Daphnia pulex: one gene and its partners. The protein of the gene in region 1 interacts with the protein of each later gene in a pairwise test. Links are inferred from orthologs where the notes say so. Each region holds a gene or a part of one and is shown on either strand. Other genes may lie near its edges. The genes, in order: neogenin-like, E3 ubiquitin-protein ligase TRIM9-like and triple functional domain protein-like.

Region 1 (3,057 bases):
GACCAGCACCGAAGAGGCCACCGCCAGGACCTGGTCCGATCTGCCATCCGACACGCCACAGAACGTCGTCGTCGAACCGGCCAGCTCTTCGGTATGAAATTATTTTTTAATTTTTTTAAATTCCGGCTCAAATTTGTAATTGAATTGTGTTTTTAATTCATTCAAAATCAGAGCGTCATTGTCCGCTGGGAGCCGCCGTCGTTGGAGAATCAGAACGGCATCATCACCGGCTACAAGATCCGTTACAAGCCCAAAACTGGGCGTGGACGTTTGCCTTTGAATCCCGGCTCGTCCAACGCCGGGTCGACGGCCACGACGGACGGCAGCCGACGGCTTTACACGCTGACTGGACTCGTGCGCGGGACCGAGTATCAAGTTCGTGTCTCTGCCCTAACTGTCAACGGTTCCGGTCCCATGACTGAATGGATGACGGCCGAAACTTTCGAAAACGACCTGGACGAGAGCCAAGTGCCGGAGCCGCCCAGCTCATTGAGAGGTAAGAATAAATAACTCGGGTCGGGCCGATAAATTCATCAAACAGATTTCGGATGATTAAAACGTGACAATTTTCGGTTGACCTCCATCCAGCTCGACCGATGACGAATTCGATTAGCGTTTCGTGGAATCCGCCCAGCAACCAGAACGTCATGGTCCGCGGTTACACGATCGGCTGGGGCAAGGGCATTCCGGACGTTTATTCGAAACTGGTGGACGGCAAGCAGCGGGCGTTCGTCATTGAGAAACTGGAAGCCAATTCAGAGTACGTCATCAGTTTGAGGGCTTACAATCAAATGGGAGACGGGCGGCCCATCTACGAGACGGTGCGGACGCGCGAGGAATCAACCCCCGAGCCGCCCAGTCCCCTCATTCCGCCCGTCGGATTGAAAGCCATTGTGTTGTCGTCGACCACCGTCGTCCTCTACTGGACGGATACCACCTTGCCTCGCAGTCAGGTATACTACTTTAAAATTGCAATGGCCATTGCCAAACAACTTTGAATGTTTTAAGGACGAAACTTTCATTTTCATTTCTGGTGTAATGTCGAAAGGGAAAGGAAAAATTGCGGTTTTACTTTTTTCCCCCAAAAAATTGTAACCGAAAATTTCTCTTTGCTGTTTTTTTCAGACTGTCGCCGACTCGCGGTACTACGTCGTGAGGTACACTTCGAGCCACACGTCGAGCAATCCGCGCTACCGTTACATGAACTCGACAGTGCTCAATTGCATGCTGGACGATTTGAAACCCAACACTCAATTCGAATTCGCCGTTAAAGTCATCAAGGTAAAAAACATTTGTTTAAATTATTTTGAGAAAAGTGTTTATTTAATTTATTTTTTTAAAATCTCAAATAGAATCGTAGAGAAAGTCCCTGGAGTTTGGTGGTTCCAAACACAACATTCGAAGCGGCTCCTTCGTCGCCGCCACGCGATCTGACGGTCGTTCCGGTCGAGGAGAATCCGTCGGCCATTAACTTGAACTGGCAGCCGCCCAAGCAACCCAACGGTCAAATTACCGGTAAGAATCGGAGGAGGCTAATTCTTTTTTGTTATTAAATGATACGAATGAATGAATCTTGTTCTCCAGGTTACGTCATCTTCTACACGACAGACAGCTCGCAGCGTGATCGAGACTGGGTGGTTGAAGGTGTCGTCGGGGATAAGATGACCACGACCATCAAAGGCCTGACACCAGATACCGCATACTTCATCAAAATCCAGGCCAGAAATAACAAAGGATACGGCCCTTTCTCCAGCATTATTCAATTCCGCACCAATCCAAGTACGTCATTGCTCATTTCTTTTTTTAAATCGTTTTGATTGTTTTATTATTTGATTTTGCTTGTTGATGCATTTCATTGTTATTTTTCCCCTTAGTAGTCTTTATCAATTGATTCATTATCGTTTGGCATGATCCGAGTATTTGTTTTATTCAACCTTTTTTTTCTCGTTTTGTTTATTTTACCGTCCTTCCCTGTGGTCTTAAAATTTAGGCAACGGTATGACTTATCACGACGCTACTCCGGTTAGCAGAGGTAAATTCCTTTAGCAGCATGATTCCTGCATTCATTATTATTTGATTTGAAAGTCATTTTTTTTTTTTTAGTTTATAGAAATCTTTTAATCCATCCGGAATTTTCTTAATTTTTCATTTTCTTTTCTCCGTCCCTTTTCAACTCAACAGATAGTCGAGGCATATCCAGTATGACCTTGTACATCATCCTGGGTATCGCTACTGGTATCATAGTCATCCTCCTCATTGTCGTGCTGGTGGTTGTCTTCCGCCGCAGAGATTCCGGAGTGACCAACTCTCCGGATCGTTCCAAGAAAGGCTACGTCAAAGGCAACGTCAAAGGCGGTAATAAAACTGGCCAGAATTCTTTTGACTTTGATTGTGTCAAATTATCGTTATCATTACTAACAATTTAAATTTTTTCCAGGTCCAGGCAAACTGGGCAAGGCTGACAACCCACCCGACCTTTGGATCCATCACGACCAGATGGAGATGAAAGGATTAGACAAATCCCTGCACCGTTCCGGCTCCGTCAACACGGTCTCACCTCTCAACATGCGCCGATCTCAAGACCTGGACTCCCTGGACGGCATGGCCTCCGGATCAACTGCCGGTCGTGGCCCCAGCACGGCAGCCAACGACTCGCTCGATCGCCGGGCTGCTTACGTGACAGCTTATGCAGGTATGTCGGGGAGACATGGCCATCAGTCGATGACGTTTTGGTCTTTTTCTTTCTGCATTTCCGTCAACTTTGTTCACATTAGATGAAATCTGCTTTCCATTTGATTTTGGCCTTATTACTTTTTTTTTTGGTTTCGTTTATTTGAATTATTTTTAATTTTTGATCTAATTTGTGCATGGCTTTGCTCGGTTCTGTTGAAACTCTGCAATTATTTGATTTTTCTGTTTGGTTTTTAATTTTTTTTTTATTTATTTATCATTTTGCATTTTTTTTTCTTTTTAACCTCTGCATTAAAAAAAATCAACTGAAATCCCCTTGATGACCCGCACTCGCTTTCCTACTACCCCGCCCGCCCATCCCACACA
Region 2 (3,765 bases), on another chromosome or scaffold:
ATGTTAGTCAACCGCGTCTCCAATTTGGACTTGACTTGGCGACAGGAAATGGACGAATTGACCAACCGGGCCAGCCCGACCCTCGAGCTGACGCTAGATGACTTGGGTCTCCGGCGCAACATTGATCAGCTGACTTTCCTAGAAATGAAACGTAATATTTATTAGTCGGCTAGACTCGATATATATGTGCAGCACTACGTAGTATATTTTTCAAGACGATAAGTTTATGGAATGTAATAATATCTTCCTGCTGTAGCTAAGACTAAGGGCTAAGGGCTATAGGGAGGGATTCATTGTCTTAACATCTACTATATGTACAGCCCCCACTGGTCGGGTCGATCCGACTTCCAAAAGTTAATGACAAACTTCCCGCTTGGCTGCCGCGCGCGGGGAGTTGGAGGTCCCGATGATTAATGAAGATCCCGCACGCAACAGTTTCAACCAGACTGTAGACTTGTACATACATAAAGTCTCCTCTCTCTATCCCCTCTAAAAAACTCTCTAGTTGCAAGCGCCACAAGTCCATGCCGGCGATTCTTTTCGTCAAATGAAGACGGATACTCTTTAACTCGCGCGGGGCAAGAAGACAGAGAGAAGTAACCGGGCCGTTTCTTATTGATGTCAAGCTATATCGGCCTAGATGAAGAGAAATCGCAAACTCTATTAGATTGTCTTTCTCTCTCCTTCTACTTCTTCTTCTTTGTGGGAGGGTAGTGGGAATTGTCACAGGGCAGAGCCGGAGTTACCATGGGAGCCGACGAGAGTCACACCAAACACACACACTCTTTCCAATTGGAATCAACTGTATAAAACACAAAACTTTGTGTCTGAGAGAGAAACGGTTCAAAAGTCATTCGTCCTTGGAAGCGGTCAGTCGCGCGGCGGCCAGCACGGGCGGCACGGGTGGCACGGGCGTACGCAATCGAATTACGGGCAACTACTTGACATGCGAGTCGGGCACGCAGAGGCGCATTCTGATTGACTGGAAACAGTTGCACCGTAATAAACGATCAAACGCCAAGACAAGACAAGACAAGAAAAAGGATAGCTCAGACCAAGTTGGAATGGATAGAGAGATAAGACAAAATCGCATTACGGGTGCGGTCAGACTAAGAGCAGATGACGAGGGTTCAATACCGAGTAATTGAATTTGAATAATAATAATTTCGTTGCGCTTATTATCTTTTCACAGCTCCCGGAGCGCCGAGAATCCTGGCCGAGGATTGCAGCGCGGAAAACAATTCAATCACAGTAGCCTGGCAACCGCATCCGGCCTCTTTCGTCGAGGGTTTCGTCCTCGAATTGGACGACGGCGTAGGCGTCGCCACCGGCCGCTTCCGCGTAAGTCACACACACACACAAACACACGAAAATCAAATAAAAATGAGAAAAATAACGATCACCGCCAGCGCCAATATAATTAACAAATTCTCACGCGATATTTTTCGTTGCAGGAGGTTTACTGCGGCAAAGAGACCATCTGCACAGTGGACGGCCTGCATTTCAATTCTCTTTACAACGCCCGCGTGAAAGCCTTCAACAGTAGCGGGGAAGGGCCCTACAGCGATCCTCTCGGACTTCACACCGCTGAAGGTGAAAAACGGAACAAAACCCCCAAAAGAAATTTTGATTTTTCTTTTCTCCTAACGACGCCCATTTATTTTTCACAGTGGCTTGGTTCACATTCGACATGACGGCCTATCCGGCCGAAACTCGCCTTTCGGCCGACGGACTGACGGCCACGACCGATAGCTACGAGCCCCGCGTTCTCCTCAGCTCGGTCGGTTTCTCCCGTGGCGTTCACTACTGGGAATTTACAGTCGACCGGTACGACGGAGCGGCCGATCCGGCCTTCGGCGTCGCCCGCCGAGACGTCACCAGAGACTCTATGCTCGGTATTAAAGGATTATTATTAAAATGTCGACGAGCAATCATGCGAATAATTCCTTGCTGTTGTTGTGTATAGGTAAAGACGAATTAGGTTGGTCCATGTACATCGACCACCAACGCTCCTGGTTCCTGCACAATAACGTGCACAGTCACAGAACCGACGGCGGAATCGACGTCGGTTCCACAGTTGGCGTCCTGCTCGACCTCGACCGGCGTCAATTGAGTTTCTTCGTCAACGAAGAGCCTCAGGTATAACGCGAAAACAAAAAAACATGAATCAGATTAAAATTTCAAATCCGACCCGAGAGAGTTGTACGACCATTGATTATTCAATTTGCATTTTTTTTTCTCTTATTTTCGTGTCTGTCTGTCTGTCTGGGCTTCATTTCGGCGGTGGGGGGATCGGTCGATACGCACACAACAGGGAACGGTGGCATTCGTCGACCTCTGCGGCGTTTTCTACCCGGCCGTCTCGCTCAATCGCAACGTTCAAGTCACGCTCCATTCGGCCTTGGATCCTCCGCCCTCGTCGTCTTCTTTTCCAGACAGCGGCGAAGAAAGTGACGAGGGCCATCAAATCGGCGCCGGTGGCGACGTCTTAGGATCGGAGCGAATGAACGGCGCCACCAATAACCCGTCAGACTCCATCACCTCACTCACATGCGCCGTGGCGGCCCTCTAGAAGAGATATAGGCGCTCCTCCTTCACTTTCTTATACAATATACTATATCCTATCAAAGAAGTACCCAATCATACCAAAACTAATTTCAACTCTCTCAGACTCCTTTTGTACAGTCATTAATAATCCTGTTGTATCAGTGTCGGAGAGAAAAAACGACCTCAGACGAATGGCATCGAGTGTCCCATTTCTAATCTTTTTTCTATTTTCTGTAATTGGAATATTTATATATATATACCTTGCTATTTTAAAAAGGCCAGATGAATCCTGGCCGCTTTTTTTCAAAAATCTGTTTGTGTGTGTGTGTGTGTGTACTACATAAATCTGGGCCAAAAAAAAAGGAAAAAAAAAAACAAGAAAATGGTGTAATGTAATAACGTATGTTTGTCACTCTTCTCTATCTCTTTCTCGCCCTCTTCTGAAACTGATGGTGCATCATCCGGAAGCGATGACATGAATCTCTCTCATCTTGTTTTTTTTTCTGTTATCTGGTACGAAAATAATGGCACAACATGTCGATAACTCTTTTTTTGTTGTTTCCTTCTTGCTTTTTCTTTCGCATGAAAGAGGGGGCGGCGTCAACGAAAAGAACAAGCACGAAACAAAACCAAATAAAAAAAAGAACTCGCCCTTCTTTTGATTCCTTTAACCAAGTCGAGTGCGCTGTCAGGACAACAACGTCCGGGAATATAATATTTGTGTCCCGTTTTTCCTGTTTTTCTTTCTTCCTACCTTTAATCATTTATTCGGGCAAACACACACACACAAAGAGGGTACTATATATATGTGTATGTGTATATATACGGAATAAGAGGGGTGAGTGGGGGACAGGAGAGACAAGGAGAACGAGGGGAGCTTGGAAGTTATTGATTGGTGGGTCCCTTCGACGCCGACCAGCTCCTCCTCGAGGGCAAAACCAGGATTTCTCGATCCTACCGGTCGTATCTCTAACTTGATAAAGCTTCGTGATGACGACTACAGAAAACGGAACGACAACCAATAGGATACTGGGGGGATAAATTCTGATTCTTCACTTTTGTTGACGAACGAAAGAAACCTGTTGCCCGTATCATATCGATGAATTCCTAAATCGTTTCTGGTTGGGAGACCGTCTGGATTTGACAGGTCTCGGAAAAGGTTAAGTACGATCGAGTTCAGCTCTATTCAACTACATGGATGTATATAAAAGAACAGAA
Region 3 (3,656 bases), on another chromosome or scaffold:
ACAACGAGTACGTTTGTTGTTTTTTTTTTTTTTTTTTTTCGCCTGCGGTTTTCTTTTTCCAACCCAACGCCAACACGATAACGAGATTTGAACGACACGATGATGATGATGATTTGTCCTTTGCAGCGTCTTCCTGCAAGCCATTGAAAAGTGCGGCGAGAACGTGGGCGAGTTGGGGCCTTTGTTCAAGCGCTCCGAGCGCAAGCTGCACATGTACATCGTCTATTGTCAAAACAAAGCCAAATCCGAGTACATTGTCTCCGAGTACATCGATACCTACTTTGAAGTGAGTCTGCCTTCCTTCCCGTTTAACACCTTCCTCATTTCCTAATCCCGACACCGTCAAGTCGCCAAAAAAACAACTTTGGTTTTTCCAGTTATTGATTTTTCTTTTTTCATCATTCCCGGTTTTTTTTTCTTTGATTTTATTTTTTCGCTTGGCATATCTCTCTCTAGGAGCTGAGACAGCGACTCGGCCACCGTCTGACTATCTGTGATCTCCTCATCAAACCCGTTCAAAGGATTACCAAGTATGGCGTCTTCCTGACCCCGCAGAGTTATTTTTCTCCCATCTTTTTGTCTCTTCTTGTTTGTGCCGTTTTTCTTCAAAGGAACCTTTTTTTCTTTCTTTTTATCTTCTTCTTTCTTCTCCGAGTAGAAGAAGATAAGACAAAAAGAAAACGGGCATAGTGGTGAAGTGCCGTGTTTGGGAGGAGAGGGGGGGAATAAGTTTTGTGCCAGGTGCAATTCATCAATCCGTTTGTTTGTCCGTCGTTTTTTTCTTTTATCTTTTTTAGGTACCAGCTGCTGCTGAGAGACTTGGTTCGCTACACTGAGAAAGGGCTAGACATTCTCGCCCGGCGGAGTAGTGACGACGATGTGAGCGCTAACGCCGCCACCGCCAACACGGACCACCTGCGCAGCTCGCTACAGGACGAGGTGGACACGCTGTCGCGGGCTCTCCACATCATGACCATCGTGCCCAAAATGGCCAACGACATGATGATGGTCGGCAGACTCCAGGGTTTTGACGTAAGAATTTTTTGTTTAGTGGGGAGGTATTTTCAGTTGGGAACGTGCCCAGCACAGCGGGATCATTCATCTCTTTTGTTTTGTTTGTTCTTTTTATGTCTTGGCTCTTTTTTTTCCCCCCCGCTCGTCCGTTCATCCATCCATCCGTCGTCTTGTCTTTTCGGCTGACATGGCTCGTCTCAACGGCGACAATACGCGGACCAAAACAGGGGAAAATAACCGCCCAGGGCAAATTGCTACTCCACGGCCAGCTTTACTGCTGCACGGAGCTGAGCAAAGTGCCGTCCAAAGAGTTCAAGGAGCTCCAAGTCTTTCTCTTCGAGCAGGCCATCATTTTCAGCGAAATTGTCGGCAAACGCACGCAGTTTATCCAGCCCGTCTTCATTTACAAAGCTCACATTCAGGTACTTATATTGGGATTCTCGCTGGATCCAGACGTCAGACTGACTAGTGAATTATTGATTCTATCTTCCTTGTTTTGTTTGTTTCTGTTTTGACAGATGAACAAAATGTCGCTGGATGAGAAATTCGAAGTGGGAGAGGCCGGAGAGCCGCTCAAGTTTTTAGTCAAATCAACAGATCCGAGACACACGAGCACCGGCGGCAGCGGATCGGGCGCATCATCCAGTGGTGCTCATTGCGCCTTCGTCTGTTACGCACCCAATCCCGAAGCCACCAACGAGTGGGTGGAAACCATTAAACAGATCCTCCAGTCGCAACGCGATTTCCTCAAAGCCATCCAGTCACCCATCAAGTACCAGAATGAGCAGCAGAGATTGAGCGGAGCTGGTGGTGCCTCCGGAAGTCTGGCCAGCCAGCATTTGTAAGTGTTCGCCTGCAGTGATGATGAAACGCCATCTCTCGCAAAATACCAAAATACCAAAAAAACAAACAAACACAAAAACACAAAAAAAAAAAAATCACGCGTACATATGAAATATTATAATTGCCCAAAATACTTTCACACACTCCAACAACCAACGCAAAAACAAACAAACAATCCTGCTGTTGCTCTCTCATTAACCTCAAATAGTTCCTCGCCGTGTGTCCAATCCCACACACACACACAGAACGCAATCCTCGTTTTCAAGTGAAGAGATGAGAAGAAGAAGTTGATTGAAATTAACATCCGCTATTTGCCACCACCACCATCCACAACCATCCAACACACACCACCAACCAACACATTAAAAAAAAAAAACTTTGCTCGGCTGTTGTAGCGGGATTCTACTTACATAATTATTATACCACCTTAGAACCAACTCCCTCGGGGCTGGGAGTAATTCTTCCCGTTAATTTCTTTCTTTCTTGCTCTCTTTCTCTCTATCTTTCGAATAACGTTTTTCTCTTCTAAATTGGGACGGATGGATTTTCTTTTTGTTGTTTTCTGTATTTACCCAACACCCCTCTCCTAACTGTCTTTCCATCTCTCCTGGTGTAGGAATTAAGTAGCAGCAGCTTTGCTCCTAATTCCTCAATTTGTTTGTCCATCAAGAGTAGACGGGGGGTAAAAAGAGTCGAAATTAGCCGCCATTAGCCACTCTAGGGGGGGAGCATAACAATTCCGGCACACACATTCTTTATTCTAAATCTTCTCTCTCTCGCTGCGAGAAAATGTTTTTCATTTTTTATTTTTCCCCCAAGAAGGAAGGAAAAATCGATTTCTATTACGTGTGTGCGTGTGTGCGTGTTGAGTGTTGAGTGTGTTTGAATGTTTAACTACCACCACCACCCAAAACAGAATTTTCTTTATCTCGTTGAAAACAAGGCTCCGGACGAATGAATGATTGCGTCACGTTGTCATTTGAAAATGGGGAAAACAAAAATCAAGTAATGTCAATAGAAGAGCATCTTTTTAAAAATTCAATTGATTCTGATCATGATTGGCGAGAACAGACAAAGAAAAAAAGCTAACGGTGGAAAATTAGTTTTCTTCTTATTTTTTCTTCCTTTCTCTTCTGACAAGCAGAAAGAATTATTCTATTCGTCTCCTTTTTCCCTCCTCGAAAACTAAAAAAACAAACAAAACAAAACACTGTAACAAGTAGACATTTCCCTCTCTTCGGTGTATTGTGTGTATATATCGTATAATTTTGAATATTATATCGAACGAATCATTTTTTTTTCTTTCATTTTCTCTTCGTCCCTTATAAAAAAAAACGAGATTTATTCTTTTTTTCTGCTCCCTCCCACAATTTTCATCCATTGTTTCCAAAATTTAACAAAATTTCCCTTTTCCTATATACTCCTAACCGGTATCTTTGACTGGATTAGTAAAAAAAAAAAAATTAACATGGTGGTTCTCTTTATTGTATACACAAACAATTTCATATTATACCTAATAAGCAAAGGAAGAAGAAAAAAAAAGAAACAACTTGATTGAAAAAAAAAGTTGAAAGAAAAGTTTTTTTTTCTTCTTTTATTTCTTGTAATTTTGGAGAGCGAAAAAAAAATTTACTTTCGATGCACAATGTATCACACTGTATAATAGTATTTTGATTCGGCTTGGTTCTTATTGATCATGTGGGTCCTTCTCTCCTCCTCCCTCATTCCCGTAATTCCCTTTCTCTTTGTTCCGCGTCTCCTATTTTTTAATTACCTTATAATGGGGGAAGTCAAAAAGG

What was found.
Region 2: the proteins of neogenin-like (region 1) and E3 ubiquitin-protein ligase TRIM9-like interact in a two-hybrid assay, tested with the Caenorhabditis elegans proteins (2 studies listed by BioGRID). The link is inferred for Daphnia pulex from reciprocal best matches to the Caenorhabditis elegans genes unc-40 and madd-2.
Region 3: the proteins of neogenin-like (region 1) and triple functional domain protein-like interact in a two-hybrid assay, tested with the Caenorhabditis elegans proteins (2 studies listed by BioGRID). The link is inferred for Daphnia pulex from reciprocal best matches to the Caenorhabditis elegans genes unc-40 and unc-73.

Annotation. Positions count from the first base shown.
Region 1 is NC_060026.1:12,669,848-12,672,904, reverse strand, and holds part of neogenin-like, read left to right. Parts: coding exon 1-91; intron 92-171; coding exon 172-496; intron 497-588; coding exon 589-953; intron 954-1,125; coding exon 1,126-1,281; intron 1,282-1,352; coding exon 1,353-1,515; intron 1,516-1,584; coding exon 1,585-1,779; intron 1,780-1,990; coding exon 1,991-2,032; intron 2,033-2,181; coding exon 2,182-2,355; intron 2,356-2,437; coding exon 2,438-2,692; intron 2,693-3,057.
Region 2 is NC_060021.1:7,813,285-7,817,049, reverse strand, and holds the end of E3 ubiquitin-protein ligase TRIM9-like, read left to right. Parts: coding exon 1-151; intron 152-1,192; coding exon 1,193-1,341; intron 1,342-1,454; coding exon 1,455-1,593; intron 1,594-1,670; coding exon 1,671-1,895; intron 1,896-1,966; coding exon 1,967-2,139; intron 2,140-2,314; coding exon 2,315-2,572; 3' UTR 2,573-3,194; downstream 3,195-3,765.
Region 3 is NC_060021.1:7,042,064-7,045,719, forward strand, and holds part of triple functional domain protein-like, read left to right. Parts: coding exon 1-7; intron 8-126; coding exon 127-286; intron 287-456; coding exon 457-530; intron 531-797; coding exon 798-1,032; intron 1,033-1,241; coding exon 1,242-1,436; intron 1,437-1,532; coding exon 1,533-1,855; intron 1,856-3,656.